Linked DNA regions of Oreochromis niloticus. The protein of the gene in region 1 binds, or shares a complex with, the protein of each later gene. Links are inferred from orthologs where the notes say so. Each region holds a gene or a part of one and is shown on either strand. Other genes may lie near its edges. The genes, in order: phf2 and vrk1.

Region 1 (16,872 bases):
GCACAGAAAAACAAGAGCTCTCTATGTTAAGCCAGTACTTGTGTGATATCTCTCTCTTCAGGCTGAGCTGGCGGCCAGGGTGGAAAAGATGCGTCAGAGTATCCTGGAAGGTCTCAACTTTGCTCGGCCACCTCATCTGCCTCCGTTCCCCCCACCGCCACCTCTGCCTCCTCACGGGATGCCTTTCTACCCTCCCACTGGTTATTTCTACAACCCGCCACCAATGACGCCTCCTGCAGGGAGAGGCAGGGGGGTGCCCGGTGAGTTCTGTTCTTTAAAACATGTAGCCCAGTTTAAGGTCATTTCTCACAAGTCTTCAGAAACAAAGCCTAGTCTTAACATTTGATGCCAACTGCTCGCTATTTCTGTAAGGATTTGAAGCAGTCCAAACACAAGGTGGGAAGCTGGAGATCGCCGGCACTGTGGTGGGTCAGTGGTCTGGTACACGACGCAGCCGAGGAAGAGGAGGCATCCCTCTCCAGGTGGTGTCTGTCGGTGGACCAAACAGAGGGTAACGGGAGAAAGATCGAACGTCTCACTCATATTACTTTGAGAACAGACTTTTCCACCATTTACGTGACACGAGCAAGCTTTCAAACTAAGAAAACAGCACTTTCTTCTGACCTCTTTTTACCACTGCAGAGAATGAAACAGTATCATTCACATCAGCATATCGCGCCCATAGTGAATTAATACGGCTCGATGCATGAATCATTCAAACTCACACATTTTTCTAGACCTTTCAGATCTGAACTTTATGTGTTAAAAGATCAGGTTTCTTTGTAATACACTTTATGATTGGTCCTAATGTATGTGAAGCACATAAATTCTAAGCCTTCCTTTCTATAAGCACATGTAAAAACTACTTGTTTTTCACGTAGAGATTCAAAATGTGGCAAAAACAGCAAATTAAAATGAATCTACAGTGGAAATGTCTGTTTCTTGCAGTCGTCCAAGAGGCGTGATTTCTACACCGCTCATAAGGACGTTTGATCGGGGAGGACGGTACCATGCCCGAACCTTCAAGAGCCAGGGAACGTACCTGGTAAGTCAGTCATGATTTTATTTTATTTGGAGGGACTGCGCAGAATAAAACATTATCTATGAAAGAAACAATAACACTGCTCTGGATTCATGATTCCATCGATCCAGACAGGATCCCCAGCACAACAGACAGACACTAACTGTTGTACAGTTATATTTGGACACTGACACCTGTTTACTGAAACATGTTCCAGCTATAGTTATATTATCGACATAATGTGCAGACTCTCAGCATTTGAGGGTATCCACATTCAAATTGGATGAAGGGTTTAGGAGTTTCAGCTCCTTAACATGTGCCACCCTCTTTTTAAAGGGACCAAATGTAATTGGACAGTTGACTCAAAGAGCTATTTCACTGGCGGTTGTGGGCATTTCCTTTGTCATGTCATTATCAGTTAAGCAGATAAAAGGCCTGGAGTTGAAGAAAAAAAACAAAAGTATGGAGAAGGTGTGGAACAGCTCATGATCCAAAGCATACCGCATCATCTGTAAAACACAGCAGAGGCAGTGTGCATGGCTGTTAGTGGCACTGGGACACTAGTGTTTACTGATGATGTAGCACAGGAGGATACAGAGGGGTTCAGACACGTACTGTCTGCTCAAATCCAGCTAAATGGAGTCAAATTGATTGGGCAGCGTTTCATAACACAGATTTACAATGACCCAAACATACAGCCAAATCAACCCAGGAGTTTATTAAAGTAAAGGAGTGGAATATTCTTGAATGGCCGAGTCAGTCACCTGATCTTAACCCAACAGAGTATTTCACTTGCTGAAGACTAAACTTCAGACACAAAGGCTCGCAAACAAGACAGCAACTGAAAGCCGCTGCAGTAACAGCAACAGAGCATTAAAAAGGAGGAAGCCCAACATCTGAGTTCATCCATGAGTTCAAGACTTCAGGCTGTCATTGCCAGCAAAGAGTTTTCAACCAAGTGCTAGAAATGAACATTTTATTTTCAGTTATTCAATCTGTCCTGTTGCTTTTGAGCATCTGAAATGAAGGGATTGTGTTAAGATCTTTTTGTTCAACCCACTGAATTAAAGCTGAAGGTCAGCACTTCATCATTGTGGTAATGTACAGAACCACAATTAGAAAAAAAGTTTTCTGTCCAAATATGTATGGACCTAACGGTTCCCCTCTGACCTCCATACATACAGGCAGCGATTTGAGGCCAAAATTTCACATTTCATTCATCACTCCATCAGACCTGTTGCCACATTTTCAGTCCAGCTCTTGTGTAATGTGGCAAAGCCCAGCATTTCGTCCTGTTTCCTTTAATTAAGAATGGCTTCTTGACAGCCACCCTTCTGCTGAGGCCACTGTCAGGCCACTGCTAGATCTCTGTCTGCTTTCAGTTTTCTCATCTTTTTGAAGGACACACTGCACTACAGTCCAGTGTAAAGGTTTGTTTATGAGTTTGAAACCTGAATGTTTACATTAATAAGTAATTGTGTTAATCTAGTTTAAAATACTGACCAAAGCAATAGTGACTAACCCCTAAACCCACTTTTGCCATCATTGGTTATTGACCATCATCGACCATTTGAAGCTTTAATCTTCAAGATGATCATTAGTGTCTGAAATTCTCACAGTGTTTGTCACACGTGGATTTTGGTACCAGAGAAATTAATAATCCCTAAATTGAAGCTCAGCCTGTAGTTTGCTTTCCCAGGAAGGTACCTCACAAAAATCCCGATGCAGCTGTTGGTTTTTCCACTGTTTAATTATGGTGCAAAACCAGAACACAACCATTGTGTGAGCTTTCAGCATGGGAACATGAGAGGGAACTAAACAGGCTCCCTGCATGTCTCTGGGCTTCATTTTGCTGCTAATTAACTTCTAAATAACTCTTGAGTCCTTTTGTTTGTTGGCAGGACTTCCAACCCACAAATGCATTTCGCTATGCTGCACATGATTTTCAAAGAGTCCTGACTTTTGTAACATGTGGGTCTTAATAAGCTCTAAATGTCCTCTTCTACTGTATCACACCATTGAAAACACACGAGTTAATTACATTGTTTCGGTGTTTCTCAATGTTTCAGATATTTTCTGACCTATGAAGGTCATCACTTTGTGTGCACAGTGCCTTCTGCCATCTAACATCTACTACCATCATTTCTACCAGTATAAAAAAGGCTGTATTTGACTGTTATCATCTAAAAGAAACAATGGCAGTGATATTTTCTGTCTGATATTTTCTGAGTAAAGAGTAGAAAAATGCTGAAATAAAATGACAATCTTCTGAAGACCAACAAATCTGTTTTCAGCACTTCTGTTGTTGAAGTTTATGCATGTAGTCCAAGTACTCACAAAAACTGCTGATTTCTTTTAGATATCTTCTCTATCTTATAGTTTGCGTTTTGCTCTTGGTCTCTCTTTTGGCTGCTCCCTTTAGGGGGCGCCATAGCCAATCACCTGCTTCCATCTCAGCCTGTCCGTATCATTCTGCTCCTGTCACACCACCGCGCTGTATGTCCTCCTTCACTTCCTGAACTGTCACTCCCGATGAAAATCTTAATGTCTTCAGCTTGGCCTCCTGTCTTTTTGTCAGGGCCACTGTCTCCAAAATCGATCTTCCTCACCTCTCTTGGTCTCTCTGTACTCCATATTTCTCTCTCCAGCCGTGGCAGATGGCTGTTTGTCTGCAGTCTAGTTCTGTTAGAGACCACTTTCTGTTAAAAGGGAGTTTTTCCTCCCTACCTTTGCCATGTGCAGGTGATCATTGGATTGCTCCCTCTCTTAATATTATAGGCTCTTCTTTAGATGACCATTGGTGTGAACAGGCACTATATAAATCCAGTATAAACAACAATGGTGAGATGTTTTTTTAACCTACCAAACTAAGAAATCTACAGCTTTTAAAAAATATCATATTATAGCTGATGACCATCACACCACAGGCTCTACTTGCTTAATCTATTTGAAAGCAGTTTATAGTATTTAAACCTTTCTCAATATGGAGATGTTTCACGTGGTTAGAGCCATTGGACTGTGCAAAACTTAACAGCTTGCTTCATTTCACAAGTGTCAGTGTGCATCATTGACAACACGTTAGGCAAAATACAATATATAAACACGGGTTGACTTCACTTTTGAAGCAGTCAGATTATGTACCTCAGTTATTTCTATCCGTTTAGTCTGTAAGAGTCTAAAGATCAAAGAACCAAATGGCTGTTTTTTCCTAAAAGATTTTAAGTCACTGTAGCCAATCGTGTTCCCTTTCTAGCTTTGCTATATTTTATGCAAGCTACATGACTGCGAGCTGCTGAGCTTTCTCTTCTAGCATAACTAGTTTAAGTTGCAGACAGTGTTACCTTTCAGATGGAGTGTAATCCATGCATTTTGTCCCTACACTTCTCCTGTTTAGAGCTTTGCCTTTTGGACATGTTGCATAGGCAGCATGTCCAAATGGCAATAAATAGAAAAAAATGGGTGGATGATAAAGTCTGCAACCCTCACCGTCATTTTTTCTGTCTGTCTACCAGAGCAAGCCTGCTTACAAGCCTGCTCAAACATCTGGAAACAACCTAGTGAAGGACCAAAAGAAGCCCAAGCAGGAGGAAAAGAAATCCTCCCCTGCACAGCACGGTGAGAGCTTAGCCATGGAGAACGGTGTGGAGGACAAGGAGCCAGAGCAGCTGAATGGAGAGAGAGAGGAATGTGGGGCTCTCATCCAACCTGAAAGTGCCTTTAGCAGTGACTCCAAGACGTGCAATACTAATCCTCACTTAAATGCACTAAATGTAGACAGTGGCTGCCATAGAGATGAAGGTCTAGAGGCCACTGTCTCAACAGAAGATTAAACCTATTTTTCTAGAGAGGGTGAAGGATGAAACATGGAGCAAGGTTAGGAACACATGGAAATATGGAAAGCTTACATTCATTGTACTTTTTTCTTTTCACACAAAGAAACGAGATGTAATTCGGATCCCTCTCTCTAAACACACGAGATCCTAACACCGGTAACGTGGAGTCACTCACTCCCTTGTCACTTCAAATCAGAAGGTTACTGCTTGAAGACGCTTTAATTTGAAAATATGAGTTCATCTATGTTTGACCTGCTTCTAGTACTTACCGTGTTGCAGGTATGGATTTTGTGTTATCATTGTAACCGCTCAGTGAAACAAGTGAGGCATAATCTTGTGCTTCCATCACCACTTTGAGTTGTGTTCATGTTTAAACAGCTCTGTCCCTCACTAGACATGAGCTTCGCGCTGTTTCGCTTATTTAACTGTAAGTAACGCCTCGAGAAACAGCTCTCGAATCACACACGCAAAAAAAGAAAACTTGAATTGGGGTTTTGAGCTGTACTCGAAGATGTAGAGCTGTAGTGTTACCACTTTGATAGAAATCTTCTGCATGGTTCGCAGTCTAACCAGTGTGTAGTTATTATGCATGCTGTCCTTTTTCTTCCATTCTTCCCGGTGCCCAATTACAAATTAATGAAACGTCTAATACCAACAAAAGTCCAAAAAAGTAGTTGTTCTAACCTGGAATCTTCTTGTGATATTGACCTCTGTTGCATTAAAAAAAAAAAGTTATTTAGCCACTTTGGAGTAGTGTATTCATACTATATTGTTCTGTTACTCTTTCCTGTTTTAGTCAAAAAAATGAAGCTCACCCTTTGTGTAGCTAAAAGGCAGCGTGCTCCACCTTTAAATCAAAACTTTGGCCATTAACCAGTAATCATTAGGGAGATTTCCTTTAGTGTTATTTATACACTTGTAATTCCTCTTCACCAGAATCATCATTTCATGTTTTCACTTAATACTGCCAAAGCTTTTCATCTACCACTAGTGATTGGAGAAATGGTGTAATCTCCTCCCCCAGTCCCCCTCGCAAGAGCTAAATGGGTTACCTTCTGTGTAAGTTGATCAGAGTTTCCGCCTAACTCTTGGATTGTAAAAGAATGAACTGCTGATGGGTTTGGTTGAATGTTCGTAGATTTTGGTGTGGTGTACTTGAAAGCAACTTAGCTACAATGCTTAATAAAACTATATTCTTTTAGTACACACTGTTGGTGGTTTATTGATCTCTCTTAACACTGGGACATGTAGTCATAACAATGTGGTGGGCTGCTAACTTTGCAAGAATTTTTATTTTTTTATATCCAAATGACAGTCAAAAGAAAGATTCTGCACCTACACCCATTGCCTGTCTTCTGCGAGGCTAAGCAGATACAGTGCAAAAGCTAGCAAGCTAGTGGCACAAGAATAGTGGTGCAATATCACACTTCTTACTCCCCCACCTCCCAACATCATAGGAGGGAAGAGAGCTGGGTACCACAGAGAGAATGGATGATGCCCAGGATGAAGCTGCCTATTGTACTTTACCTTATTATCTATCATACATATACTGTCCTGCAGTGGATGATCATATTAAACATGGCCAAAGTTTCAAATAATAAGGTCAGTGTATTTACCATGTGATCCAAAAATGCCCACAATATTAGAAAGTGAACAGAGAGTGAGCACTTGGCAACTGTGGGGAGGAAGAACTCCCTTTTAACAGGAAGAAACCTCTGTCAGAAATAGACCTGGGGAGGTGCAGCCGTATGCTGCAACTACTTGTTGGGTGAAAGAGAAGAGACCGCAAACTGTGGTCATCTCCCACACAGCTCTGTGTGTCAAACAAAGTTGTCATTCAGTCTTTAAGTGATGACCTGATGAATCCTGCTTCCGGGTCCAAACTACTCTGCATTTATTAAGGCTGATGTGTTTTTAACATGTGTTAAAGCTTTGTATCTTGTTCTATTTAATCTGAACCAAGCCCCTAAAAAAAGTCAGTGATCACTGTCGGTCTCTCTCGGTTTTTATTATCACTATTCATCTGCAGCATGTTTTAAACCTCAGTTTTTAAAACCTTCCGATGTAACTACAGCCCAGCCCATGCAGCAGTATATTAATGACTAACCTGGTATTGTGGATGGATTATCTCAGTTGTTCTCCTGACTGAAGTTTGGTCCGTTTACAGCATCCTGCCATGCGATTGCATTTGTCCCTAACCATCGGGAACCCTCACGTTAACTTTTATCGAATGGAAAAAAGTTGGCGTTCATCCTCCAGCTTCACTGTGTTTATGTTATGTTAACCATAGCTGTGTAGCTAGCCACCACATAGCACATCATTATATACCATCAGTATATAATAGCAGAGCTGTCTGTTTGAATTGTTTCTGAAATCTCTCAGTCAGAACATGCTGTATCAGCTTTAGATTGAAACTAGCGAGCTAGTTTCGTGCTAACTTCTAACTCCGTTAAACTTCATGCTTTCTGTTTTCATGGATGCCTGGATGTTAAACTTTATTGTTACACCTGGTAGATCAGCCACAGTTATCATTTTATTAAAGATGAAAGAATTTAGACAGTTTTTAACTCTCTGATGCCGCAGTGTCCGTTTGACTTTGGGACCTGAAGCAGAGTTTGGACCTGGAAACGGCTAATGATGTCAGACTTAAAGACCGGATAAAGGTAGGGTGGCCTTCGAGAGAGAGAGAGAGGGAGAGAGAGAGAGAAGTTACAGCTGTAAGAAAAAGGAAGTTTTCTTTGGACTCTATGGAAAAACCTTAGTACACATCCCATGATTTAGTAGCTCGTAGAAGCACTTTAGCAAAAACAAGTAATTATTTTCTGTATGCCATTATCAGTCTCTCACATCGTTCTTGAGAAATTTTGCCCCACTCTTCTTTACAACCTTGCTTCATTTCATTGGCGTTTGATGGCATTGATTTATATACCGCTCTCTTAGGGTGCCATCACAGCATTTCAGTTTGGCTGAGTTTTTGACTTTGGGTTACTGCAACACCTTGATTCTTTTGTTTTCCAGCCATTCTGTTGCAGATTTGTGCTTGACATCACTGTATTGTTGCATGACTCAGCTTCAACCAAGCTTTAGGTTTTGGACAGACGGCCTCATATTTGATGCTTAAGCACTTTGGTATACAAAGGAGTTTATGGTCAACTCAATGTCTTCAAGGTGCCCAGTTCCTGTGACTGCACGACGAGCTCAAATCATCACCCCATCCCCACCACTGTGCTTTTCAGATGGTATGCAGTATTTATGCTGATATGCTGTGTTGGATTTTTGGGCAAACTTCTTCGCTTTGGTCTTGTCTATCCAAAGGACATTATTTCAGTAATCTTTTGGTTTCTTCAGATGCAACTTTGCAAACCAAAGCCATGTTGCCATGTTCTCTTTAGAGACAAGAGGCTTTCAGACAAGCCATAGTTGTTTGGTCTTTTTCTAAATGTAACATGTTTAACATGCTAACTGTAGCGGGGTTTTTTTGCAATTTCCCTGAAGATTACATGGTTTGATTGGGGGTGAATTTCTTCTGCTTTCATAGAGGTGAGGCTGCATAGAGAAAACTTTTTTTCACACCACTGCAAAATGGCTTGTTTAATACATAAAACCGTGCAGACCGAGATTTGGTGTCATGGACAAAACCTCATGCTGGTTTTCTATCAATCAGCCAGCAAGCGCAGTGGACTTGTGAAGAATGCAACATGTGTCTAACATGGAATCAGCTGTTCTCGTAAGTTTATAGTTCAACTACCTTATTACAAAATGTCATTTGATTTCGATTCTGTTTTGCTGAGATGATGTTGAAATATTTTTATGATTGTATTATTATTATTAATAGCAATTGTATTATTATTATTATTATTATTATTATTAAATTCCAAATACATGAAATGTAGTAAAAATAATAATAATACTAATAACAACAACAACAACTGTATTATAGAGAGGATATCATGATGTAGAGAAATAGTGTGTAATCTCGTAATAACAGATTATGTAATAATTAAACAATTATATCTTTCCTAATGGAGGCTATGAACACGGTATTTAAATTGTATTCATCGATTAACAATAAACTGTCTGGGAACAGAAAGCGTTTATTTCTCGGCATTTGAGCGTTCCACTACAGGGAAAAAACATCCGCAGGTCCATTTTAGATCGATCTTTACGCTCATTCATCGGATCTAAAGCTGCTCCCTGACGTAACTTACATTTGTTTATTTATTTACCTCGCAGCGACATCGAGACTACATTTTCTTGTGGCTCCTAATATGAGCGCTTCGGTGCCGCGCAGTCACCAGGGGGCATGCACATAGTAATAATAACAATAATAATGCATTTGAGGAAAGCCTGCTACGACGAGCCTCCATCGTTTCTAGCTCCCCGCACAAACGCCAACCCGGCCGCGGCGTGATGGAGCTGTGCGCTTAGGTTCATGTGTCCGGCGGGACTGCCCCTGGCTTTTTTTCTGGGGAAGATCATATTGGATCATATTGTTTGCAGGACGTTGTTCCTCCTGCAGCCCCCCCAGTCTATCCCGACGTAGTTGTGAATTGAACATGGCGACTGTACCAGTATATTGCATCTGCAGATTACCTTACGACGTGACCCAGTTTATGATCGAGTGCGATGCTTGCAAGGACTGGTTCCACGGCAGGTAAGTCCCGATTGTTCCCCGTACTGTATTTTGGGGCGGTTTGCATTTGTGGGAAACAAACAAAAATGGCGAGGTCTCGGTTGCGTTTGACAGCTTTGTGGCTCTCAGTCGCCCGTCTACATCTGAAGAGAGGCCGCTTGGAGAAGAAGAAGAAGGCGGAGTTATATATAGCCGACCGGGGTTGTGACATTTTTTCGCGAATAACACAAAACAGATTTCCCTTATTGGAATAAATACGGTGGTTTATGGGAGGATTTTGGTGTGAGCTTCGGCTATTAATTGCACTTAACGGCTCTTTAACATCCCCGCATAGCCCCAGCCTGCCTTCCCGTTGTAAGGAGCGGACGACAGCGGTGGAAGCCTCCGCAAACTCGCCGCTCATTTTTGTGACAAATGCTCGTCCTTCCAGACACGTTAAGGGCAACATTTCGCCCGTATTGCTGTGAAATATTCTCACATTCGAGTCGCTCCAGTTTTCACCGGCCGTGTTAACCGAGCGCGGTGGAAAATCACGACTCGAGTCCGAGCTTCCCGAACTCAGCCCCGCAGCCTTCCTGCCAGGCGGCAGCTATGGCTGACAATAGCCCGTGCTGGATGTCCTTAAGCTTCAGCAGCGGAAGGGAAATAATTATTAGTATTCGTTTGACTGGTTTGTCACTACTGTAGACTACGATTGTTAGCTCATACGTCTCCCCGAGTATAGTGCGAAACGTATCGCCCGCCGCTGCTCATCACTTTCCCTGCCGTACACACACTGTAATGGTCTCAACCAAATCCCAGTTATCATCTTTTCGTTTTTGCCTGCTGTCGTTATATCTGTTCTTACACGAGTCTGTGTCTGGACTGGCCTTTGCTTTGGGGTGTTTAGAGCTGTTCGGCTGCTCTCTGCCTGTCTTTTTGTTAACCCGTCATTTGTTAATCGCGTTTCTTTCGGTGAACAAGCCCTTCAGAGCATTGAACAGTATTTACGCGCCTGAACGTTAACCCTTTAATGTTCCTCCGCCGGCTGCCCACCGTCTGTGTCACACTGTCTAAATCATTCGAGAATTAAGGGATGGGAATAGTCCAAGACCTACAAGCCAAACCACCAGCAAAATTCATGTTTTCTCCCCACACCCCCTTTTTAACCAGAAACATCGTATTTCTGCTTCTGTTATTACCTGCATCTCACATTTTCACTTACCTGTCACATTCTGTAAGTTTTTGATCCTGATAAAAATAGAGCAACTGCATTTTTCAAACCATAAGTATATTTAAAGTGGATGTGCACACACCGTACATTGGCACTCCAATTATTCAGGCCCCTGAGGTGGACCATCATGAGGAATAAATCAGGTTATACACATCAGGTTCCCTTTAAAAATTTAACAAATGTTGGACCGCGTAATGCATTTCTTCGCAAATTAATATTAGCGATAGACCGCTGATAAATACTTGCATTTTAAAATAATATTCATGTGCATGTTCAGTTGTTAGGAGCGGATGTGTTAAGTTCACATGTATCATCAATATAATTATGATTCACAGTCTTAGCATGAGTCCACACGTCATGATGTGATGTAACAGAAACAAAATCTAATCATTATCCTCTAAGTGATCACTGAATCCTCAGGGACTTGTACACATGGTGATCCATACATGTATAGGTATCACATATACATTGGCTGTTAGAGTCAGAAACAATAGTTCTACAAAGAGCTGCAGCAGCCTAGCTTTGCCATGTCTGACAACACTCTACTTTCCTACAACCTTTATGCATTCGTTTTTATATCCTGTAGTCATTTTGGTTTGGGCCACAGTTGAGTCACTGCAGTGTTCAGGACAGCGTTTTGGAGATGCTGCTTGCAGTCATGGCACCCAGCTGTTGTTGATCAGGAAACAGTTCAAACGCTAACTGCTCCTAAAACCACACTGTCTGGTTTTCACTGTACATTTCTGTTTTATCTTCATGTTAAATGAACAAAACCAAGTTAGTTAGCCTTGGACTTGTTGAATTTTTAAAATGGCAACTTTTTTAAAAAAATCAACCTTATAATAAAAGTGCCTTTATTGAGGAAGGTACCTTTTTAGCCACTGGTTTAGTCTGTGTTAGTTCATTATTAATACTCGTGGGAGCTCAGTTTACCACCTGGCTTCAGTCTCACTGCACTTATCAACCCTTTATACAAAAAGCAAGCAGCTGTTTTCAACAAATAAGCTACAATAAACCCACAGTTAGTGACAAAGCTAGCTGGTGATGCCTTATCCAAAAAGCAGTAGTTGGAATATTTTTCTCAGGAGATGGTGACCAGTTGTTAGATAAAAGAGAAAAAAAAGTAAAAATAAAGATTTAGAACACATGTTGTTACAGTGAAAAATAACTGGTTCAAACCTCAGTTAGGTCCTTTCTGTTTACAGTTTGTATCTTTGCACTGTGCTTGCATGGGTTTTCTTACCCATGGATGTGAACTAGACGAGTGTTCAAGTATGTAGAATAAAAGAATACCAACATTCTGAAAATGCAACATGCCCACCAGCACAGAAAAAACAACACACTGAACAGCAAAAACTATAAGCAAAAGATTGCAACTAGTGCAGCTGCCACAATAACTCTGCCCTGACTTAATGATAAGAAGGGCCGTAAGAGTTATTTCAGGAAGTAGTTTGTGTTGTTATCACGAAATACATTTTACCACTTTGTCTGAGACACTTGTCATTGCTGTTGTAAAATCAGTTGTGATCCAAAGGCTAAAATGTTTGCAGTGGCTAACATTATATAAATGCTGAAGCTAACATGACGTAACTAATGTTGTCTTATAGGAATGTCAGTAGGCTGCCTGTCAATCATCCTAACATCTCAGTCTATGTTCTGTCAACTGAATATAATGTTAACATTTTAAACAAATGGTCTATCAACACCATGTCAGTGGCTTAAATCACTTTTTAATAAATAATTATGGCTGAAATCATCTAATTCTCTTTGTACTGGTGCTGACTACAAAATGTTTGGTATTGTGACATTCTGAGTAAGTAAGACTAATAAATGCTATATAAATATACAAGGCCATTCCTTTCCAAGACAACTGATATGTTGCTTAACACCAACATTTATGTATTTAAAGTCCGTCAAATTGTAACAAAAGCTGTCTTAACAAAATATTTGTTTTGTTTTGACTTGTTATCAGGTATTGGTAAATGATGTTTAAACTAATACTGTAATACATATTATATATTACCTTATTACAATTTTGAGCAGTTGTTCTTCTCACTTGAAAAGACGTTTGCAGTTATTTTGGCGCTGCATGAATTCACTTTATGCTTGTGGTAATTAGTAAAAAAACGTTCTTTACTTTGAATTTGTACGTTGACCAGCAGCCATGGTGAGTTAATGCGTGTGAATGAGTGAAACACTGGCATTAACCATACAGCTGCATTTACATGGTGTAGTGAAGTTGTAAATGAGCAGAGGGAAAGTAAACAGAGGACAGCCGTCTTAACTAGCGCTATTCTATTCTACTTTACGCAGTCAAACTGGAATAAGGCTAAGCAACTGAAACCAGGTGTAACCACATTCTGCACCAAGATGTGTGGACACCAGCACTGAAGAAACCAAGGCTAGGGCTGCTAGCATTGCTGGGGTTAGCTAGACTTTAAAAACTAATCTGACACTGTGTGTGTTTGCAAAGTTATACACAGCGCAAAGTGTTACATAACTGAGCGACATTTAAAACATGAATTGTTTAACAGGGAAGATAATTAATGGTTTCATATAGCCACTAAAATACACACAGTGTATTTGTTTGGACAATGTTGAACTTTGTCTATTTAAAGTGTGTTTAAACAAGTAGCAAAGCAATCAGCAGGGACATCCGTAACACATGTGTGTCTTTGGCCTACAAGAATTACTCCATGAGTGTATCGACAGGTCATCCAGAAGGTCACTTACCTCAGATAGTGTCAGTGGAGTGAAAAGACAAAAGTTTGGGTTTTGGATGTTTGGCATAAAACTAACACAGCATTTCATAAAAAGAACATCATGCGAACATCATATCAGTCATAGTGGTGGTAGTGTGATGGTAGTGTAGTTCTGCTCTTTACCAGAAAATCTAGAAGGAGAGTGTCATCAGTTCTTTCCATGAAGCTGGGTTGTGCAGCAGGACAAAGATCAAAAATACACAGTGGCTTAGTAAAAGTCCAACTTAAGTCCTGTCGACATGCTTTGCCATGACCTTAAATAGGTCCTTCATGCTTGAAAAACCTCCAATGTGGCTGAATTAAACCAACTCTACAAAGAAAAGTGAGGCAAAGCGTTGTGAAAGACTCATTGTCAGTCATTGCAAATGCTTGATTGGAGTTCTCGCTACCAATGGTTGCACAATTGGTGATGAGATATAGGAGGCATTTACTTTATCACACAGGACCAGGTAGATTTGGATATCATTTTTCCTTTAAACTGCATTTTGTATTTACTTGTGTTATCATTGTCTAATGTTTAAATTAGTATGACAATCTTAAACAAATGGAAAGAAATCAGGAAAGGGTTAGGGAAAGGAAAAGGGATATCATGTGTTTGTGTTTACAGTGGGGGAAATAGCTTTGTAAGTTTGGCCACTTATAAACACAAACAGTCTCAAATTTTATGGTATTGTCATTTTGATGGAAAGAGACAGACTAGCAACCAAAAATCCAGAAAAAAGCATGTCACATAAAAGTTATAAACTGATTTTCATGCCATTGAGTGAAATAAGTATTTGATCCAGAAGGATTGGTTGTATGCCACATGGGCACACAGATTACAATCAATCAATCAATTACAGATACTCCTGACCTCAGCTTATGTGTATAAAGCACACCTGTCCACAGAATCAATTTCTTCCATTCCAACCTCTCCACCACCAGCTCAAGACCAAAGAGCTATCAGGACATCAGGGACAAGATGTAGACCTGCACGAGCCTGGAAGCAAGACGCTTGGTGAGAAGGTGACAACTGTTGGTGCGATTATTTGACAGTGGAAGAAATATGAAATGACCATCTATTGCCCTCAGTCTGGAGCGCCATACAAGATCTTGCCTCATGAGGATGGACTGAAGTCTCTCGGTGCCTGCAAGGTTCCCCTCACTCAAGAAGGCCCATGTACACGCCTGTGAACCTGTGCCAGTGAACCTGTGCCAGTGAACCTGTGCCAGTGAACCTGTGCCAGTGAACATTTCAATGATTCAGTGCTATCAATCTAAGTACTATGGTTAGATGAAACGAACTCAGCCCATCAGCGTTGGAAGAAGAGAAATGCAGAGTATGACACAAAGAATACTATACCAACTGTCAAGTGCTTTGGGGCTGTTTTTCTGCTTAGGGCTCAGGATGACTTCACCGCATTAAGAAGTCAGTGGACGAGTCAATGTAATGTAAAGTCCTGGACGTGCACCTCCTTCCCTCTGCACTGAAGATGGGTCACAGATGGGTACTACCAAGGCAATAAAGGAGTGGCTAAAGAAGAAGCACATTAAGGTCACGGAGTGGCAGAGCTAGTCTGCAGACCTCAATCCTATAGACAATCTGTGGAGGGAGTTGAAGCTTTGAGTTGCCAAGCAGCAGCCAAGCAACCTAAAGGATTTACAGAGTCTAACACAGGAGAAGAGCGGCGAAATCCTTCCAGAGATATGTAGAAGCCTGATGACAAGACATGTTCTTACTGTTTTCACCAATTACTCTAATGCTTTTTTCACTTAATGACATGCAAATCATGTTATAACTTTTATGTAATGTGTTTTTTATGGATTTTTAAGTGGATATTTTGTCTCTCTCCATTCAAATAAAGCCACAATAAAAAATAGACTGTTCATTTCTTTGTAAGTGAGCAAACTTACAAATTCAGCAGGACATCAAATAATTATTTGCCAACTTTTTAAAAAACATTTTCTGATTAGATCTTTGTCATTGAACACAGAGCATTGAAAATGAGTTAGGAGCTTCAGCAGTGTGAAGCATAAAGTAGCATTATAAATTAAATAAAGAATGTATGGCAACTTGATAATTTAGCAACTATCTGCAGCTTCTTGAAATCTGATGAATTAATAGCAATTACTTATTAGCCAACATGATTGTATATACATGTACTTATCATATTTAATCATTCCTCCCTGCCTTGGCACACACCGACTTTACACAGCCCTCCAATGCCCTTGAAATCCATCTCTTTCCCTTTTTTTAAATGATTGAAATTTTATATATAATTGTTTTTGGCATTTTGCCTTTATTGGATAGGAACAGTGGAGATAGACAGGAAAGCGGAGAGGGAGAGAGTTGGGAAGATGCAGCAAAAGGCGCCGGGTCAGACTCAAACCTGTGCCGCTGCTTTCTGGTCATGTGGTATGTAGCAGCCTGCTGACCCACTAAGCTAAACTGGTGCCCAAATGGTTGCAGTTTTCCTCAGAGCAAACAAGTCTCAAGACTAAAAGCAGGTTTTGATGACTTTGAGCTTTATTTAACTTATTGAAATATATAACATGCCCTGCAGCAAATCTGCAATTTGTTGGACGATGTTCAGTGTGACTTATTATATGGAACAAGACACAAAATATTATTCTGCTTATTAGATAGATGTTATCCTCACGGCGGCAGACACTTTACCTAATAAAAATATATGTTTATATATTTAGATGCACTGTAAGAAAAGAGATTCTGCGAGCTGGTGATGGAGACTTGATTTCAAGAACATGCCACCTGTAAAGATTTGCTTTATGATATAAAAGTGTAGCAACACTACACTATATGTCTTCTTTCACAGAATGGCTTCATCAGTGCGTCCTGGGGTTGACTGTGTTAAAGCTTTAACTAAAACCATGGTTAGCTGTGGTCATTGCTTAGAACCACAGTTGCATTATGTGTCATTCCCACACTAGCCACAGGGGAAGGCCCCTTCTGGCCACACTGGGTACTGGGGAGTTGCTGTACAATAGCTTTATATGAACTTCTTACTGCTGGATTGACTGTGGTAAAATAAATGCTCTATTAAAGCTAAACAGAGAGTTAAAACAGGACTACAGCTCACCGGCTTTACATAGCTGGATGTATGGGGACTTGCATAGTACAGAAACAGTTGTCAGCAAGTCTTGCGCATAACACAAGCCAAATCAATACATCCTGCAACTGCTTCATAGTAAAAGCCTGAGGAAATTTGCTGAGCATGCAGGTGACAGAACATTTAAGATTTAATTGCAGCTCTGACACCACAGACGTAAATGACAGTTGTGGAAGGAGTGAGGCAAGAGCAGGAATAATATGAGTTAGATCTCATTGTCTCATCTGTCATTCAAGACTCACATCATTCCAGTATATTACTGTTCAATTCAATTCACTTTTATTTATACAGCACCGGATAACA
Region 2 (16,226 bases), on another chromosome or scaffold:
TTCAAGGTGAAATGTACTTTGTAGAGCTTCCACAAACACGACGGCTGCTGAGGAGTTTTACATAAACTTATTATGTCAGTCAAAGCAAACATGGGATGTCCTCAGGAAGTAAAGGTGCCCCCAGAGAGAGTGATGCACTTATCACAGGCAATCAGCTCCTCCAGCCGTCACTGTCCTTTCTGGGCCTGTGTAACGAGACTCCGCCCACTGCCCCCCTTTCCATTTTTGCCTCCATTTTGACAATTGCTACCTCATGATCACCATGCGGCACCCACTGAGGTGAACAGATTGGCGGGATAATTACATACAATAACAAGCACCAGGGCCCAGTAACCCTTCGGCTGGCAACACCACGTCCCCAGTGGCAGCTTCCATATGCACAGAGAGCAAGTGGGGGAGTGACGGGGGAGTGACGGGGGGAGGGAGGGAGAGCGAGAGAAAGAGAGAGAGTCAGGGGGAGTAACAAATATAAATGTTACATTGTAGCTGAGTGCTCCAGGATCACATACAAAGGCGATGATGTTTGTCCTGATGTGCACCAACACTAAGAGCGTACACACACAGTCAAAGATGGGCAACTGCATACAGACACATGAAGGGAAACTTCTTATCAGCTGAGGCAAATTACACAGAGGAATGTTAATGAAATTAACAACAGGTGCATTAGAGGAGCAACAACGAGACAACTCCCAAAGCAATAGCATGAGGAGATACCTGGTTTCACAGCCAGACCAGCCAAGGCCAGGTTTGCCGTGTTGCCCAGCACAGCCATAACCCCCCTGAGGGGTCCGTAACCCATCAGCAGGAACAATATCTGTTTCTTTATGCGAGGAGGAACACGAAGAGCACTATATAAGAGCCGTCCAGAAGGTTACTGGTGTGAGTGTCTCTGACAAAACAATCAAGACCTCAAGACTCGACATCCTCTAGCAGGCCATGTGATCACTACCCAGCATCATGGAGCCTGAGTGGCATCGGCCATAATACCAGAGTTGGCATTTCATCAAACCATGTGGCATCGCTTCATTCTGAACACGCCCCTATGACCACAACAATCTGAAAAGACAGGCGACCCCGAGGTGTTGGCAGAGGGGAATGTGAGCAGTCCCTGGAGTGGACATCAAATGTGTAATATATATGAGCCTACACACTAACCCTTCTGCTCGACCATAAAGACAGCTGGAGGCTGGACACTAACCGAGAAGAAAGTAAACTGGTGGATCAGATAATGCGGAGGATTGGTAACTACAAAAGAACTACATATTATATAGTTCATAAATATGAACTGGACACCAATGATGCCTAAAACCATGGGACAATTACTCCTATCATCACCAAACAAAGTTAGAAATAATTATCATGAACCGACAGTTGTTCAATTCTTAGTCGACTAAATGAGGAAAATAATTAGACGGTAAGTCAAAGTTGTACACCCCCACAGTCTCGATCTCAAATACTGCATTTTCTTGCTTCCCTCTTGAAACAAGTAGGAGCGCTGACCTTGGTGGGAGGCGACGCTGCTCCATTGACAGAGGTGAACTCCAGCTTGCCGTCCTCTTTAGCACCGATGGTCTTCAGTCCAGCCTGTAGGATAGAGCGCAGCTTGTCGTAGGGTGGTTTGGCTGTGTAGCCCAGAGATTTCACCTCCTCCATGAACCGCTGTATCTCATCTGCAACACAATGAGAAGCCCGTTCATCAGAACCCTCACACCTTCTTGCTCATTCGAAACCATCAGGTCATCCATGATAGTTCTTTTTAATCAAACACTTCATAAACCAAGACATAACTTAAACACAAGCTTTCCCCCCCCACACACTGTTGTCACCATAGTGTGTTGCATTCAGATGTCAACGTCAGGCTAAATGTTGTGTGGTGGGACTTTCTTCAGACTTGGCACGCACACAGATGGAGCAGTAAACAATAGTTTGCTCGTGCTCAGCACAGCAGAAGGACGGAGGTGCGACGACTCTGAACCGACATGCTGCCTTCCGGTCAAAGCACTAACATTAAAAGGCAACTTTTAGCACAGTTGGGCAACAATGTTGCCATTTACTGCCGCAGCTTGTGGCCTGTACTTCTATCCCAGTGAGAGGTCAGGTGGTCACTGCTCAAAGGCAGGAATTACATCATGTTAAAAACACATGAGAGCAGCCAGGAACGGACGAAATGAATCAATTCACACTTTACTAATCATGCTGCTGTAACACACAAACCTTATCAAAGAACACTAACAGTACTGATCATAGCTGACAACACAACTCCAAGGAAACTTAAACTCCTTAAAGACTGTTAAAATAATGGAAAGGTAAAATGTTCGACTAATCATGAACTTGATATGATTTGAGGTCACAGCAGTTTCAGACTGTGGGATTATGCAGGGCATTGTGGTTTTCACAACCAGATTAAAACATTAGTATTCATGATGTGACAAGTGTAGAAAGTCTACAGTATATGAATAATACGGTGAGGCACATCAGTGTGAAACAGCTCAGCGCTGCTCCATCGTAGCCACAGAGCCTCCGCTGTGAGTCTGTCTCACCTGGTTTGTCTTGAGAGGAGAAACACTTGGCCATGAACTCTGTTATGTTTTTCTTGACTCCTGCAGGTGAAAACGTTAGACAACTTTCTTTAATACACATCAATCTGTGTGAACTGTACAACACACAACAAAAAATGTAAAAAAATAAAAAAGTATTGTAGAATTGTATAAATGGCAAAGTGTTGCTGACTGTGGAGCACCCAGGCTGGGTACTGTGTTTCTCATACCGGATCTTGGAGTCTCTGACGTACAGCGGGTCCTGCAACTTGTCCTCCCAGGGGAGCCGACCACACAGCCACTGAACCATGCAGTAGGACAGGATCTCCAGGTCGCTGCGCCTGGACACGGCTGTTAGCAAACACGATGTACGTGGCAACATTAGCAATATCAGACACTTATGTACAGAATACCATTCAGGTTATTTCCATGTTGTATGAGATGAGGAATATCAATCAGTATCAGTCTTGTTCTTTGGCATACTTTAGCTTGAGTAACAACGTCTGTGGCTGAACACACAGTAGACTCAGTACTACGACTGTGGCCCCAAAGGCAAGTCAGTCCCAGCCCACTGCCGTGTTAAAGTGCTCTGACTGTACAGGAAACAGCGCAGCTGTTCCAAACTGTCCTCACTAAAATGGTTTGAAATCTGTTCACATTGATGTTCCTGTTCATGGTTAAAAACACCAGATCCTGCTGACACTTTCAGATTACCACTCTGGTTTTGTACGCCATGTTGGGCGTCATGACTACTCGCGTACGTTTGCACCTACATGCTCCTTTGTGGCAGTCGATGCTTGTGAACTCGATGGTACCATCGTGACATTTCTTGGGGTCTTCCTTGTACTCCTTGGGCCGACCTTCAGGTGCGTACCTATAGGCCAGTCCATAATCTACTAAGTAAACCTACAGTTGACAAACACAAAGATTCAGGCATGCACACACATACACAGTACTTTATACTAATCCATGTTTTACCAGTGTTCACTGACTGTACACAGACACGGGTCAGGATGAAGGAGAGCAGGAGAACACACGATTTCAATTCTAATTCCAGCTCCATAGCACTTTATTATTATTCCTCAGTTTGCATTGTGCTTATATTCTCTGTGGCTTTAATAAAGAAATGTAGAGCAATAAAAGCAAACCTACATTCACCAACTCCGAGGAAGAGCAGGAAAAACAACCAGAGCCAATATTAAAATCCTGAGGGGCTGATTTCTAAATTGTCATTTATAAAAAGCTCCTTAATAACACCACCGATGATACATTATTAATCTCCAAATTAAATATTTGCCCCTGCCCCCACCTTATTTGCAGCTCTGTGCTCCTGCCATCTAATCTCCCCCGTCTGAACACTCTCGCTTCACCTCCCCCCGTCGCAAAAGCCTAATTGAATCTAATGAAGCGGTGCGAGTGTGTTCCAACCAAAACCAGGCTCCTCCTCCTGCTGATGCACGGGTCACAGCGGCACTTTGTAAACAGTCATAGTTTCAGTCAGCACGCTACAACTCCAACTGACCTGGTTAGGATCGCTGTGACTCAACATGAGGTTAGACGCCTTCACATCAGCGTGCACGTACTCGTGCTCGTGGATGTACTCCAGAGTATCCAGCTGCACAGAAACAAATACTCCATCAAATACAGAGTACAGATACATCTGTAATGTAGCAAGACCCTAGTACAAAGTAATCACACTAGATGGTTTAAATATAATGTGCCGTTTGGCCACACAAGAAGCTGCTCAGCCCGTCATCACCTCACTGAGCAGCAGTCACGTAAAGCCAAACCTGTGATCACATTAGAAGGATTTTATTAACAGTAACTTGATTCATTACGTTCAGTTTCAGAACATAAACATTTGTCATTTTTAGAGGGGAATGTAGCCAGGCTGAGCACCAGAGAGCACAGAGGTGAGTCTGACCAGAAACAAAGTTTCACTTCCTCCACATAGATCTTAATAAACTAGAGCGAACAGGGAGACGCGCTCCTATAAAAGAAGAGGCAGCGTGGGATTTCTAACAAGAAAAAGTCATAGTAAAAGGCTATTTTACAGTCTATCCAGTGTCATTGTGACAAATCTTACTGGACTGTGTAAACAAATTACTTCATTGTTGGCATTTTCAGGCAAACAAAGGATTTTCGATCGGAAGCACAGGTGCAGGAAATCTGCTGATGACGTTCGCTTTTCCGTAAAGCGGTGTCAGATTACACACACAGTTTCAGCAGCTTACTTTAAAACTCTACCTGAGCAGAAACAATCATTCCAGGATGAACCGGAGAATGCTTCTGACCCACAATCATTAAAACAACTGAAAATACACTTTTGTTTCTTTTTGGGAAAACCCATTTCCTCCCCTGTGCATCACTAACTCTGAGGATGAAACCACTTGTTATTCAATCCTCATCATCAGTTATTTTCAGTTTGCGTACAACGTTCATCCTCAGGATGTTGGTCATTCCCCATCACACATTCTCTTTCCTGTGATCACCGTGACCTGCTGTTTACAATGTAAGTGTTTCAAACTGAAACAACTTCATCATGACATAACCAACCAGTCGAAGGCCGAGCTGCAGGACCAGCTTTCTGGGAAATCTCCTTCCACATTCCTCAAATTTCTTCTGCAGGTCTGTGCCAAGTCTGTCGATGACCATGAACCTGTAACTGGTTGGTACAGAGAGCTGTGTTAGCAGAGCGTCAGAAAGGCTGCAGCTTTACCTGTTACTGTGAGGACAACAAAGCTGTTTCACTTTACTTCTTATTTGGTGTTTTGGTTTATCTAGCTTCCATTAAGACATTAACACACAAAAAAAATTAATAAAATATTAAAAAGTTAGTTGTAAAAGGTGTAAACAGGGAGATTAGCTTAAATATCTGAGTTACATAAGTGCACAGAGGAAGTCAGGAGGTGTGATGGAAGGGCTGACGATAGCGCTAACTATGTGACCCAGGCGGGACCAAAGCTGATGCCTTATTAGGCCACGGGGGGGGGGGGGGGGGGGCTCCCTTATGAAACCAGTAATAAGTGCTACTACTGAGAACCACTACATGGTATCAGGCAGTGCCAAAGTAATCCACTGAATGAGTCAGAGTGAGGTCTGTTATAAAAGGCAGAGACCTGAGCTGGGCAGGGAAAACAGAAGCTCTAATCAGCGTAATCATGCCCACCTCTCCTTTAAAACTGCGTGTGTAGCCATGTGACTCCATCCAATGTGCAACATGCAAACATCATGGAGGAAAGGTCAAACACAGAGTTGATGCACAGCTCGAGCTGCTTGCACCAAATATAACTGCTGAGTCTGTAGTTTGAACACATTTCTCACATGTCAACAAAAGAAGAACCTGAACAACTGAATGTCACATAGATGGAGGAGAGATGGGCTGCATCATTACAAACTGAGATTTGTCCCCAGCACTCCCACCCTTACCTTTGACCCCCTCTCTCATGTCGACCTGAGCCCCAGTACCGGGGCACGCCCAGGTTTTTCAGCTTCTTGGACTTCATCCAACTCTGAACTGCAGGGCAAGAGTAAACTTATCAGACACGTACATATTTGACTAAAGTGAGCTTTTAATGTGTGCATACATGAAATCAACAACACAGGAAGTAAACTCTGAAAAGCCTGGTGCTGGTTTAAGTGGGTGATGGATGTGAGACTCAAAGTAATAAGAGTATAATTCAGTGGGGGAAAGTGGCCAATATGGCCGCGAGCTAATCTGCTGCTGGGACAAATATTTACCAACAACGTGAGACTCCAGCATGAATAAAATATGAGGCTTTGGTTCCTTAGTCATATAACAGTTAATCGTCAGGGGAGACTGACATTTGGATTGTTATTATATAAAATGCAAAGCGGTGGCCCGAGGGCCGGCGGCGCTGCCACCAAACGCTTCCTTTCCTTTGTAGGGCTCCTCTGAGCCCCGGCTACAACACCATCTTTTAATTAAGAAACTTGCCTCTCTTTTTATTTGTTTGCCCTGCTGGTGAGACTCTTGTGTTATGATCGCAGGGCTAACTTTGGTTTGCTGACAGTATGAGTGTATTTATAGTGTCTGATCATGTGACTCACTGAGATCCGGCTTGGCAGCTCTCATGTAAAATGCGAGCTCGCAGAAAAGCGGTCCATTGTCAATAGGCTCCTGTGGACAGAACAACAGGTACATTAGGTCTGCAGACCCACAACAGCACACTGGGTTGTTGTTTTCACCCTTAACAGGCAGGAAAAAAAACGAAACACAATTTTCTTCTGTTTAAACATTTAAAAAACAAACAAACAAACAAACAAACAAACAAAACTGCAAAAACTGGTTGTGTGTTTATGTGTTTGTGTGTTTAAATCCAGGTTCACAGACTGTTACATCTCTGACAGTTAGGAGCAGGGCAGCCCCACCAATCGGTCGTGCTGCAGTTTGAATAAAAATATTTAAAATATTCAATAAAAATGTTGAATAGCTTCCATCCACAGTTTGTTTCAGACAGTGACAGCACAAATAATTAGAGTTAAAGTTAGAATAAACACTGTATAGGAAGACCTTTACATTTGGCCCACAACAGCCATCACGTCACTTTTTAACAGCAACACCTGCAGCGTGCAGATGTGAGCCTGCAGTGGGCTACAGCACAGTGGATCTGACGGCGCTTTTCTGTCCGGTCTCTCCTCACATCTCGACAACGATTTGAACCAAAAAACGTAAAATTAGGATTCATCGCTCCCTCAAATGTTGCCACTGATTTTCAGTTCAGATGTTGGGTAATGTGGCATCCCCACGCTTTTCCTCCCCGTTTCTCCTCCTTAAGAATAGAAACAGGGAAACAGTCACAGTGCAGAAAGTGCCTTATTGGCTGCAACGTTTGCACTGTGATCACTTCTGGTGAGACTTTAGTGACCAGCAACTGGACAGAGCCATCTGACAGGTCCAGGGTCAAGGCCTCAATATATATGCTGTGCTGGCTGCATCACTGCAGTTAGTGAACAAATAAATAAATCAGACAATTCTCAGAGAGTCAAATGGGAGAGACTTTGAGCCTGATGAGTCTGCACATTCGAGCAGAAAAGCAAGTCAAACAAGTCCTGTCAGTATGTGAATTATTTCTGGACTTAATCCAATGAACTTATGTTGCCAATTAAGTCTTAACTTTTGATGGGCTTAACTAAGGTGGAAGTGTTATAGAATAAAAATTGATATGTCATAAAATACAAAGTACTTCAGGTTGAGTTGGCTTTTGTAGCTACTTTTCTGTGAATAAAGAAAAAAGTATGTAAAGAGTAATAATGCCTGGACTGGAACAAACTTAGTCCTACCACTTTGATGACATAGCGAGCATCAGCACCCACAGGCTTTGCAGAATTTTCCTCCGCTGGGGAAAACATAAGAGGGAATATGTTCATTATTTACAGTATTTGGTTGACACATGCTTAAAATCTTTATTAACTTCTATTAAATATAAAGTTTGCAACTCAAACTCAGATGTTAACTAGAACTAAAATACAAATAACATTGTCTTTTATTTTACCATGACTGTGTCACTAGCATCCTGTGTTCTTACCCAAGTATATGACACCAAAGCCCCCTTGACCGATCGGAGCCCCCAGCTTCCATTCCTTCTTCATGGTGTCCTTCAGCACTTCTCCAGGAGGAAACTCCTCTGCCAGTTTCCTCTTGGCAGGGGCTCTGCCTCTGCCTGCCGCCTTGGCTTTAGGGGGCATCTAACACACACACAGCCACGGTGGTTGTTAGTGCTGCTTCATCGTGATGGAAGCAGAACTCCAAAATAAAACTAAGCTAAACATCGTTGTAAACACAACAAGAAATGGAAAATTGTACTTTTTGGGTCACATTAGAACTATGTTTTTATCTGTACCGAAGTTAGCTAACCACATCCCGAGTTCCCCATCACCTGCTAATGTGTGCAGCCTATACGAGACACTTCCCTAACACGAACCGCCTGTTAGCATGTGGGTTAAAACCAACAGAAAGAGAAACAGTAAAGTGATGGCGTCGTGCGAATCCTGCACCTTTAGCGGTTCTTTCGAGGCTCGTTAGCTCTCATGCTAACTGCGTGGTTTTGTGAGTAACCGTGTGTCACATTAGCGCCTACATGATCTGCTACATGACGCCGTCCAACAGCAAACGCTGTACCCGAGTACCTGTGATTGGTTCCGTTAGTATACAGATATATACATCTATGACAAAAACATACCGTCACTTCGTTGTTTATGCTTCCCTGTAGCAGAAACTGTGCATGGACCAAACTTCCCGCAAAACTACCGGTCAGGAAGTTACGTCACCGTACCGCGCTATTTTATAGAGATTGACAGACCACGTGACTTTCGCGCATTGCATGTTGGGTACCCGTGGCAACAAAATCAAAACACTGCATCAAGCGGTAGCATTTCCAGCACCGGTAATCATTAATTCTGCGGTTTTAATCCCTACTAGCATTTTATTTGCCCCAAAAACAGTTATGTACAAAACGAGGGAGAACACGGCAGGTCCGTACAAAGACAGACTTGACGAAAAGACAACAACAAAAAAAAGGACGAGGAAAAAATCAAAGGAGTGAAAGGGTCAGACCCGTACCAGCATACAGAGCGGAGTAAGGACGTCAGCGTGCTGCCCAACTTTCATCACGCACATATTTATTATTATATGGTCCTAAGTGTGAGTGCAGACACTCACATGATGTTTAGTAACTCAGATCCCTGCAACAAGCCCAGGTCCAGTTTACTTTGGTGATTTGGACTATTCCATTTCACAGCTGTTGTTACATTCTTTTCCTTTATCTCCTGTACAGGCAAACGCATCTATTTGTTGTTTCAGGTTGTAGTATTACACAACATTTTCAGATCTAATAGAAATAACATGAGTGTTTCGTAATTCATTCAATTTATTGTCTTTATTTCTAACTGGCATTATTGTTTCATTCTATTATAGAATCTTACAAGAAGGAGGCAAAATTGTAAAAATCCATCATGCTTTATTAGCTGTTTCGGTGAAAAACAACAATGCAAAACAACATACTGGAAAACAGTTATTCATCACTTGATTGCTTCAATACAACCCTTGGGCACATATATGCGGGACGTTTCGTGGCTGTTTTGATATCGCTCTCTCTCTTAACCGATCAAATCTGGCTGTGGTAGCAGCTTTAAACTCGGTCTGACCCAGGGTGATAGAGGGTGCAAAACACATGAAAACACATTTTCAATGAGATTGAAAATGTGACGTCAGTGAAAACACATGAAAACACATTTTCAATGAGATTGAAAATGTGACGTCAGTGAAAACACATGAAAACACATTTTCAATGAGATTGAAAATGTGACGTCATTCCGGGGTGAAACCGCAAAGGATTCTGGGAATGCTAGGCAAGCGGTACTAGCGCACGCAGGCTTTCACATGAAAACAGTCACAAAACACAAAAAATGGCAAGAAGCTGTTGTATTATTAACTGCAATAGCCGGTCGCATGACAGCCATGGGAAGCCAACGGGTAAAGAGATTGTTTTTTATCGGATTACGTCGTGGAAGAGAAATTGTTCAAGCCATGTTTCCGAAGTAACAAAGAGTAACAAAGAGCCGACGGATGACCTGGAGCGGGGGAAGTCGCTGCTTCACTACTGTGTGAACAGCGATGTAGGCCACATACGGCCCACGTTGAACTGTCCTTTTTGTTTATTGTAAAGAAGTTTAAATACACATTTAATCCCTGCGATATCTTAATATATGAAAGATATAATATAAAAATATTTTAAACATGTCTTAATATAAGAAAAAGTTTTCAACAGCAAGTCTATGTTCTGCATTTCTGCTGCAGTACATGAAAGAAATCTGCCAACATGACTCCTGTGGGTTCAGTTCTAATAAATAAATATGATCCGATAGCTCAGACTGTCCTGTAAATATAAAGCAGAAAGTTTTTGTTAATTTACAGAAAATGCCTTTTTTTTTAAAATGTGGAACCATCATCCATTCATCCATTATCTTCTGCTTATCCTCGATTGGGCAGGTCTTCAGTACATGATCAACTATCAGAGCTGTGTTATTAATTTCTTATTGTTTTATTATCAAACCATGGACTAATATGTCTTATTGTGCCATTTAGTTAAGTCTGAAGGCTTTTGGAAAAAAACACACATTCTGTAAATTTATTTAATTTTGTAAAGTATAGACTTTTACCTTGATGTTGAGGTGTTGTCATCATTTTTATACATAGCACCGCATTTTCAGATCCTCAAAAGTATTTGGAAAAAACAACAACAGTTCAATGTTAGGGCTTGTGTGTAATACTTTGCAGTCAATAACTCCCTAAGGTGTAGAACCATGAGTTTTGTGATTGCTTAAGTCAGTAAAAGGTCATGCAAAATCACTTTTTGTCTTTATAATAATGAAAACATCTTCACCACACCCAGTTTATAGGCACTGCAGATATATTAGAGTAAAACACAGGCCGTGCAGTTCATAGTTCAGATTGTATATATTTACACCTAAGTGATTAAATATATATGCTTTTGTCTCCATGCACCATAATGTTGTGTCCCACACATCCAGCTACACCAGTACTGCTTCATCATAGCAAGGCATCTGGGAGAAACAGAAGGGAAAAAGTCATATTTCCTTGGTTAAGAAGAGCATTCATTGATTTCATTACTGACACTGTATCGCCCAATCAAAAGTCTTAATACCTCTCCCCTACTTTCATTATGTGCCTGTATAGCAGACTTTACTGTGGAAGAAGTGGATGATAAAGATGAACAAACAAAAATGAAAAGGTGGCACTAAAAAGCTAAGAGAGAAGACAAAACTACAAAAAGATGCAGCAAAATGTGTCTAATTAAGTGACTTGTTATCTGTCGTGGCTGCTGCATCGTCAACAGTAGTAACAGCAACAACTAGTAACAAGTGCTCACAGGCTGAAGAAGCTACTGCTGCTAGTGCTGCTAGTTCCCTGTGTGGAGAAGTGCAGCAGTCCTAACTGCTATGGGCTTGAAGTTGGCCTCAAGTGTTGTCACATCCCCATTGAGTTCCTGATGAAGGCATTCCAGGATCCAGGTGTGAGGAGTCATAGGCCTTCTTGTAATCAATCCAGGCAGAGCACAGGTTGGTCAGCCTAGTCTTGCAGCCTCGTCTGACTGTTCTTTCTACTAGTCAAATCAAATCAAATCACTTTTATTGTCACGTCACATGTGCAGGTACACTGGTACAGTACATGCGAGTGAAATTCTTGTGTGCGAGCTTCACAAGCAACAGAGTTGTGCAAAAATACAATAACATAAGAACAAGCAAAATATAAGAATGGCTAAATCTGAGAGTAATAAATATATGTACAATATAAGAGTATATCCATTACTGGATGTGTATACTAAATATGTTTTTCTACATGTGTGTGTGTGTGTGTGTGTGTGTATACATATTTTACAAATTAAATAGATTAAACAATAAAATAAAATATATAAAATATACAGAGGTTGGTAGTTGAGACATGTACAAAACAAGTGGCATTTATATACAGTATGGAGTGCATAATGTTGTTGAATGTGGGTGAGGTGTCTATGACGTGTTCAGCAGTCTGATGGCCTGGTGGAAAAAGCTGTCTCTCAGTCTGCTGGTACGGGACCGGATGCTGCAGAACCTCCTTCCTGATGGAAGTAGTCTGAACAGTTTATGGCTGGGGTGACTGGAGTCCTTGATGATCCTCCCCGCTTTCCTCAGGCACCGCTTCCTGTAGATGTCTTGGAGGGAGGGAAGCTCACCTCCAATTATCCGTTCAGCACACCGCACTACTCTCTGGAGAGCTTTGCGGTTGTAGGCGGTGCTGTTGCCGTACCAGGTGGTGATGCATCCAGTGAGGATGCTCTCAATGGCACAGCGATAGAAGGTCCTGAGGATGCGGGGGCTCATGCCGAATCTTTTCAGTCTCCTGAGAAAGAAGAGGCGCTGCTGCGCCTTCTTCACTGTTTTGTTTGTGTGTACCGACCACGTAAGATCCTCAGCCAGATGTACACCAAGGAAGCGGAAGCTGCTCACTCTCTCCACAGCAGCGCCGTTGATGGTGATGGGGGTGTGTACTTCTCTGCACCTCCGGAAGTCCACTATCAACTCCTTTGTCTTTGCGACGTTGAGGGTGAGATGGTTGTCTTGACACCAGTGGGTCAGGGCGCTGACCTCCTCCCTGTAGGCCGTCTCATCACCGTTGGTGATAAGACCCACCACTGTAGTGTCGTCCGCAAACTTCACAATGATGTTGGAGTTTCTAGTGGCCGTGCAGTCGTAGGTGTAGAGTGAGTACAGGAGAGGGCTCAGTACACACCCCTGTGGAGCACCAGTGTTCAGTGTGATGGGGGATGAGGTGATGCTGCCCAGTCTGACTACTTGGCATCTGTCAGTCAGGAAGTTAAGGATCCAGCTGCAGAGGGAGCTGCTCAGTCCTAGATCCTGCAGTTTCCTGTCCAGCTTCGAGGGAACGATGGTGTTGAATGCTGAGCTGTAATCTACAAACAGCATTCTCACATACGTGTCTCTCTTCTCCAGGTGTGACAGGGCAGCATGGAGTGTCAGGGCTATGGCATCATCAGTGGACCTGTTGTGGTGGTATGCGAATTGTAGAGGGTCCAGTGAGTTGGGTAGTGAAGAGCAAACAAAATCCCTGATCAGCTTCTCGAAGCATTTGCTCACGATGGGGGTCAGGGCTACAAGTCGCCAGTCGTTCAATGATGAGATGGTGGAGGATTTGGGTACAGGGACGATGGTGGCCATTTAGAAGCAGGCTGGGACTACAGACAGAGAGAGGGAAAGGTTGAAGATGTGTGTAAACACTCCAGCCAGCTGAGCCGCGCATGACTTGAGGACGCGGCCGGGGATCCCATCCGGACCAGTAGCTTTGCGTGCGTTCACCTTCCTGAAGCACTTCCGCACATCCTCCTCAGACACAGTGTGTGCACTGACGTCATCCGCGGTGCGCACACTGTCCGGTCTCATGGTGTTCGCTGTGTTGAATCTAGTGTAGAATACGTTTAGATCCTCACACAGAGAGGCCGTGGTCTGCGGTGTGCTGGTTTTCCCTCTAAAGTCTGCGATTGTGTTTAGTCCCTGCCACATACTCCGAGGGTTGAATTGAATTGAATTGATTGATTGAATTGATATACCTTTATTAGTCCCACAAGGGGGAAATTTCATAAGGCTGCCGACCTATTGCACGCAATGGCGGCGCCATCTTACCCTCCGACCATACATACATTACACAAAACATCACATGGGGAAGACAGGTCAGAGAGGTATACATGGAAAAGCACAACATGAGGAAAGATAAGGAGAAAAAAATAACTCCCCCCAGACTGAGCTCCAACAGGGAGATCAGTTTGAGAACAGAAAAAAACACCTCTGCACATGAAAAAACTCTTAATACACCAAAGAAACACATGACAAGCAACAGGGGTGGGTAAAGGGTGAGAGACAGCCAATGTAGACAGTACATCCGGGCCTGCAGCCTATGCGCTGGTCTCCATGATCCACCGTCAGCATCGGAAGGGAATAAGCGTCGAAGGCGTTTGGAAAGGGAGGGGGGATGAGTGTGTGCATATCAGTGTATATGTATGTGTGTGCGTGTCCAGAGTTCAGCTGAGACAGTGTCCTTCGCCCTGCCAGGCTAAGTAAACAGTCTTCCAGCCAACCCAGGTGGCCTTGCATAGGATAGGAAGGAACAGACTAAACATAGTCTGTAATCAGGGTGTTGTTGTACAGCTCCAGCCTTGCAACCGCAGCTGGCGCTGAGAAGGTATCCGCATGAAGTGAAGGTGCTTTTTACTTTAGTGCGAACAACTCATATGAATTTCAAAGCAGTTCTACAGTCCAACACTGGTCTCTCAATCTCCCGTTGGAGAGCCGCGAGCTTCGCCATACTTGCGTTCTGTGAGGTTGTCATTCTTGTGCTCAAGGAGCCGATTCTGAAAAACTCACGACAGTGTGCCTCCCCGAGATGTCATCCAATTTACGCTCAGAGATGTTATGCCGAGCGAGCCCTTCCGAGATGTAATCCAGTCTGCACTCAGAGATCTTATTCTGAGTATTCACAGCAGCCGTAGCCTTTCCAAGATCTTATCCGTGCTGCACTCAATGAGCCCATTTTGAGAAACTCACGCCTCGTCCCATCATTTCAATCCCAGCGGGCAGCCTTGTGGGGGTTTGAACAGCCGGTTCCGCTTCCTTAATTCTTCGATAAGCCAGGGCCAAGCCAGCTCCGATCAGCAAGAACCCTGTTATCATGGTTCCGAATAGGTAGAAATCTTCAGCAGTCAGGCTCACCCAAGCCCAAACTTCTCGTTAAGAAAGGGGTGTCAATTGCATTCAGAGACCAGTTGATCAAATCCATAATTCCTCTTTTAGGTTTTAGAAAACAGACTGTGAGAGATTGTTCCAGGGAAAAGTCATACAAAAAACACAAGACTAGACAAGGACATAAGAGGCTAAGCAGGGAAGCTAAGGGAGAGGAGGAGGAGGAGAGGAGAAAAATGCGACCGCCTTCGTCAAGAGCGGTCGCATTTGTCAAACTGTTGCTCCACCCTGTCCCTGTACTCATGTTTGGCTGCTTTGATCGTCTTCCGGAGTTGGTAATGTGCGTGTTTGTAGTCCGATGTGTTCGCGGAGGCAAAGGCGGAGCTCCGTGCTGCCAGTGCCGTGCGAACATCTCTGTTAATCCAGGGTTTTTGATTTGGGAAGGATTTAACTGTTCTGGATGGGACGACATCTTCCACGCATTTTCTGATAAATCCGCAGACTGAGTCCGTGTACTCATCAATGTCATTAGCAGCCACGTGAAACATTTCCCAGTCCGCGTGATCAAAACAGTCCCGCAGCGTAGACTCCGATTGGTCCAACCAACGGTGCACCGCCCTCAGTAGCTGGTGTTTTGCGCCTCTGGTATTCTTGCCCATCCCTTTCTGTGCCCCATTCATGTATTGAGCCATGTGCCTGTTCATCTTAGCCGCTATGATGCCTGACAGGAGCTTCCATGTGATGCTGAGGCAGGTTATTGGTTGGTAGTTGGAGGGGACCGGTCCCTTCCCGGGAAGAAGCTGTTCTTTAGTCTGTTGGTTTTGCACCTGATGGATCTGAACCTTTTTCCAGAGGTAGGATGTTGAAGAGGTGGTGGTTAGGATGGAGGTGGTCCTTTATAATTGCTCTGGCTCTGGAGAGACATCTTGAGCTGGAAATTAAGTCCAGGTAGGAGAGTGGACAGCCAATCACCTTCTCTACAGTTCTTATGACCCTCTGTAGTCTCTTCTTGTCAGCTGTTGTGCAACCAGTGTACCACACAGTAGAAGAAGCTTCACCAGGGCTGATGTGTTTGTGGTCCAAGATAGGTCCTCAGATATGTGGGTGCCGAGGAACTTAATAGAGGATACCCTCTCCACATAGTCACTTTTATGGAGAGGGGAGGGGCATCCATTCTTGTTTTGTTGGTGTTTAGGGTGAGTTGGCCTGTTCTACAGTTATGCTCTGTCCAGGTCCTTGACAGATTGTTGTGCTGTAGCTCTGTCACACTTTACTGTACTTAGCACAATAATTAGAGTGGCTGCTGCACTTTAGCTGTTTATTTGCAATTCTATTAAGAGAATTGTGTGTTTCTAAGAAATGTTCTCTGTAAGAAAAAATTACTCCAATGAAAAGTTCATTCTTGTAACTGTAACC

Evidence for each region.
Region 2: the proteins of phf2 (region 1) and vrk1 are in contact, whole or in part, in a crystal structure (PDB 8F8Y), measured with the Homo sapiens proteins. The link is inferred for Oreochromis niloticus from reciprocal best matches to the Homo sapiens genes PHF2 and VRK1. Residues at the interface, in NP_005383.3 of Homo sapiens: Tyr7, Tyr14, Val16, Thr17, Arg18, Phe19, Met20, Ile21, Glu22, Trp29, Glu39, Ala42, Ile45, Asp46, Tyr48, Lys64, Tyr145, Ser147, Glu150, Lys175, Val178, Asp179, Tyr182, Ser183, Thr184; in NP_003375.1 of Homo sapiens: Pro2, Arg3, Val4, Lys5, Ala6, Ala7, Gln8.

What each region holds. Positions count from the first base shown.
Region 1 is NC_031970.2:37,167,991-37,184,862, forward strand, and holds the start of phf2 (lysine-specific demethylase phf2), read left to right. Parts: upstream 1-9,031; 5' UTR 9,032-9,410; coding exon 9,411-9,508; intron 9,509-16,872. Other genes in the region: constitutive coactivator of PPAR-gamma-like protein 1 homolog, read left to right, coding at 62-260, 373-511, 949-1,045, 4,534-4,851. UniProt on the Homo sapiens protein: Lysine demethylase that demethylates both histones and non-histone proteins. Enzymatically inactive by itself, and becomes active following phosphorylation by PKA: forms a complex with ARID5B and mediates demethylation of methylated ARID5B.
Region 2 is NC_031983.2:1,342,508-1,358,733, reverse strand, and holds the start of vrk1 (serine/threonine-protein kinase VRK1), read right to left. Parts: upstream 8,891-16,226; 5' UTR 8,741-8,890; intron 8,247-8,740; coding exon 8,087-8,246; intron 7,898-8,086; coding exon 7,842-7,897; intron 6,679-7,841; coding exon 6,609-6,678; intron 6,055-6,608; coding exon 5,967-6,054; intron 5,203-5,966; coding exon 5,094-5,202; intron 4,153-5,093; coding exon 4,060-4,152; intron 3,444-4,059; coding exon 3,311-3,443; intron 2,889-3,310; coding exon 2,768-2,888; intron 2,624-2,767; coding exon 2,541-2,623; intron 1,671-2,540; coding exon 1,501-1,670; intron 1-1,500. UniProt on the Homo sapiens protein: Serine/threonine kinase involved in the regulation of key cellular processes including the cell cycle, nuclear condensation, transcription regulation, and DNA damage response.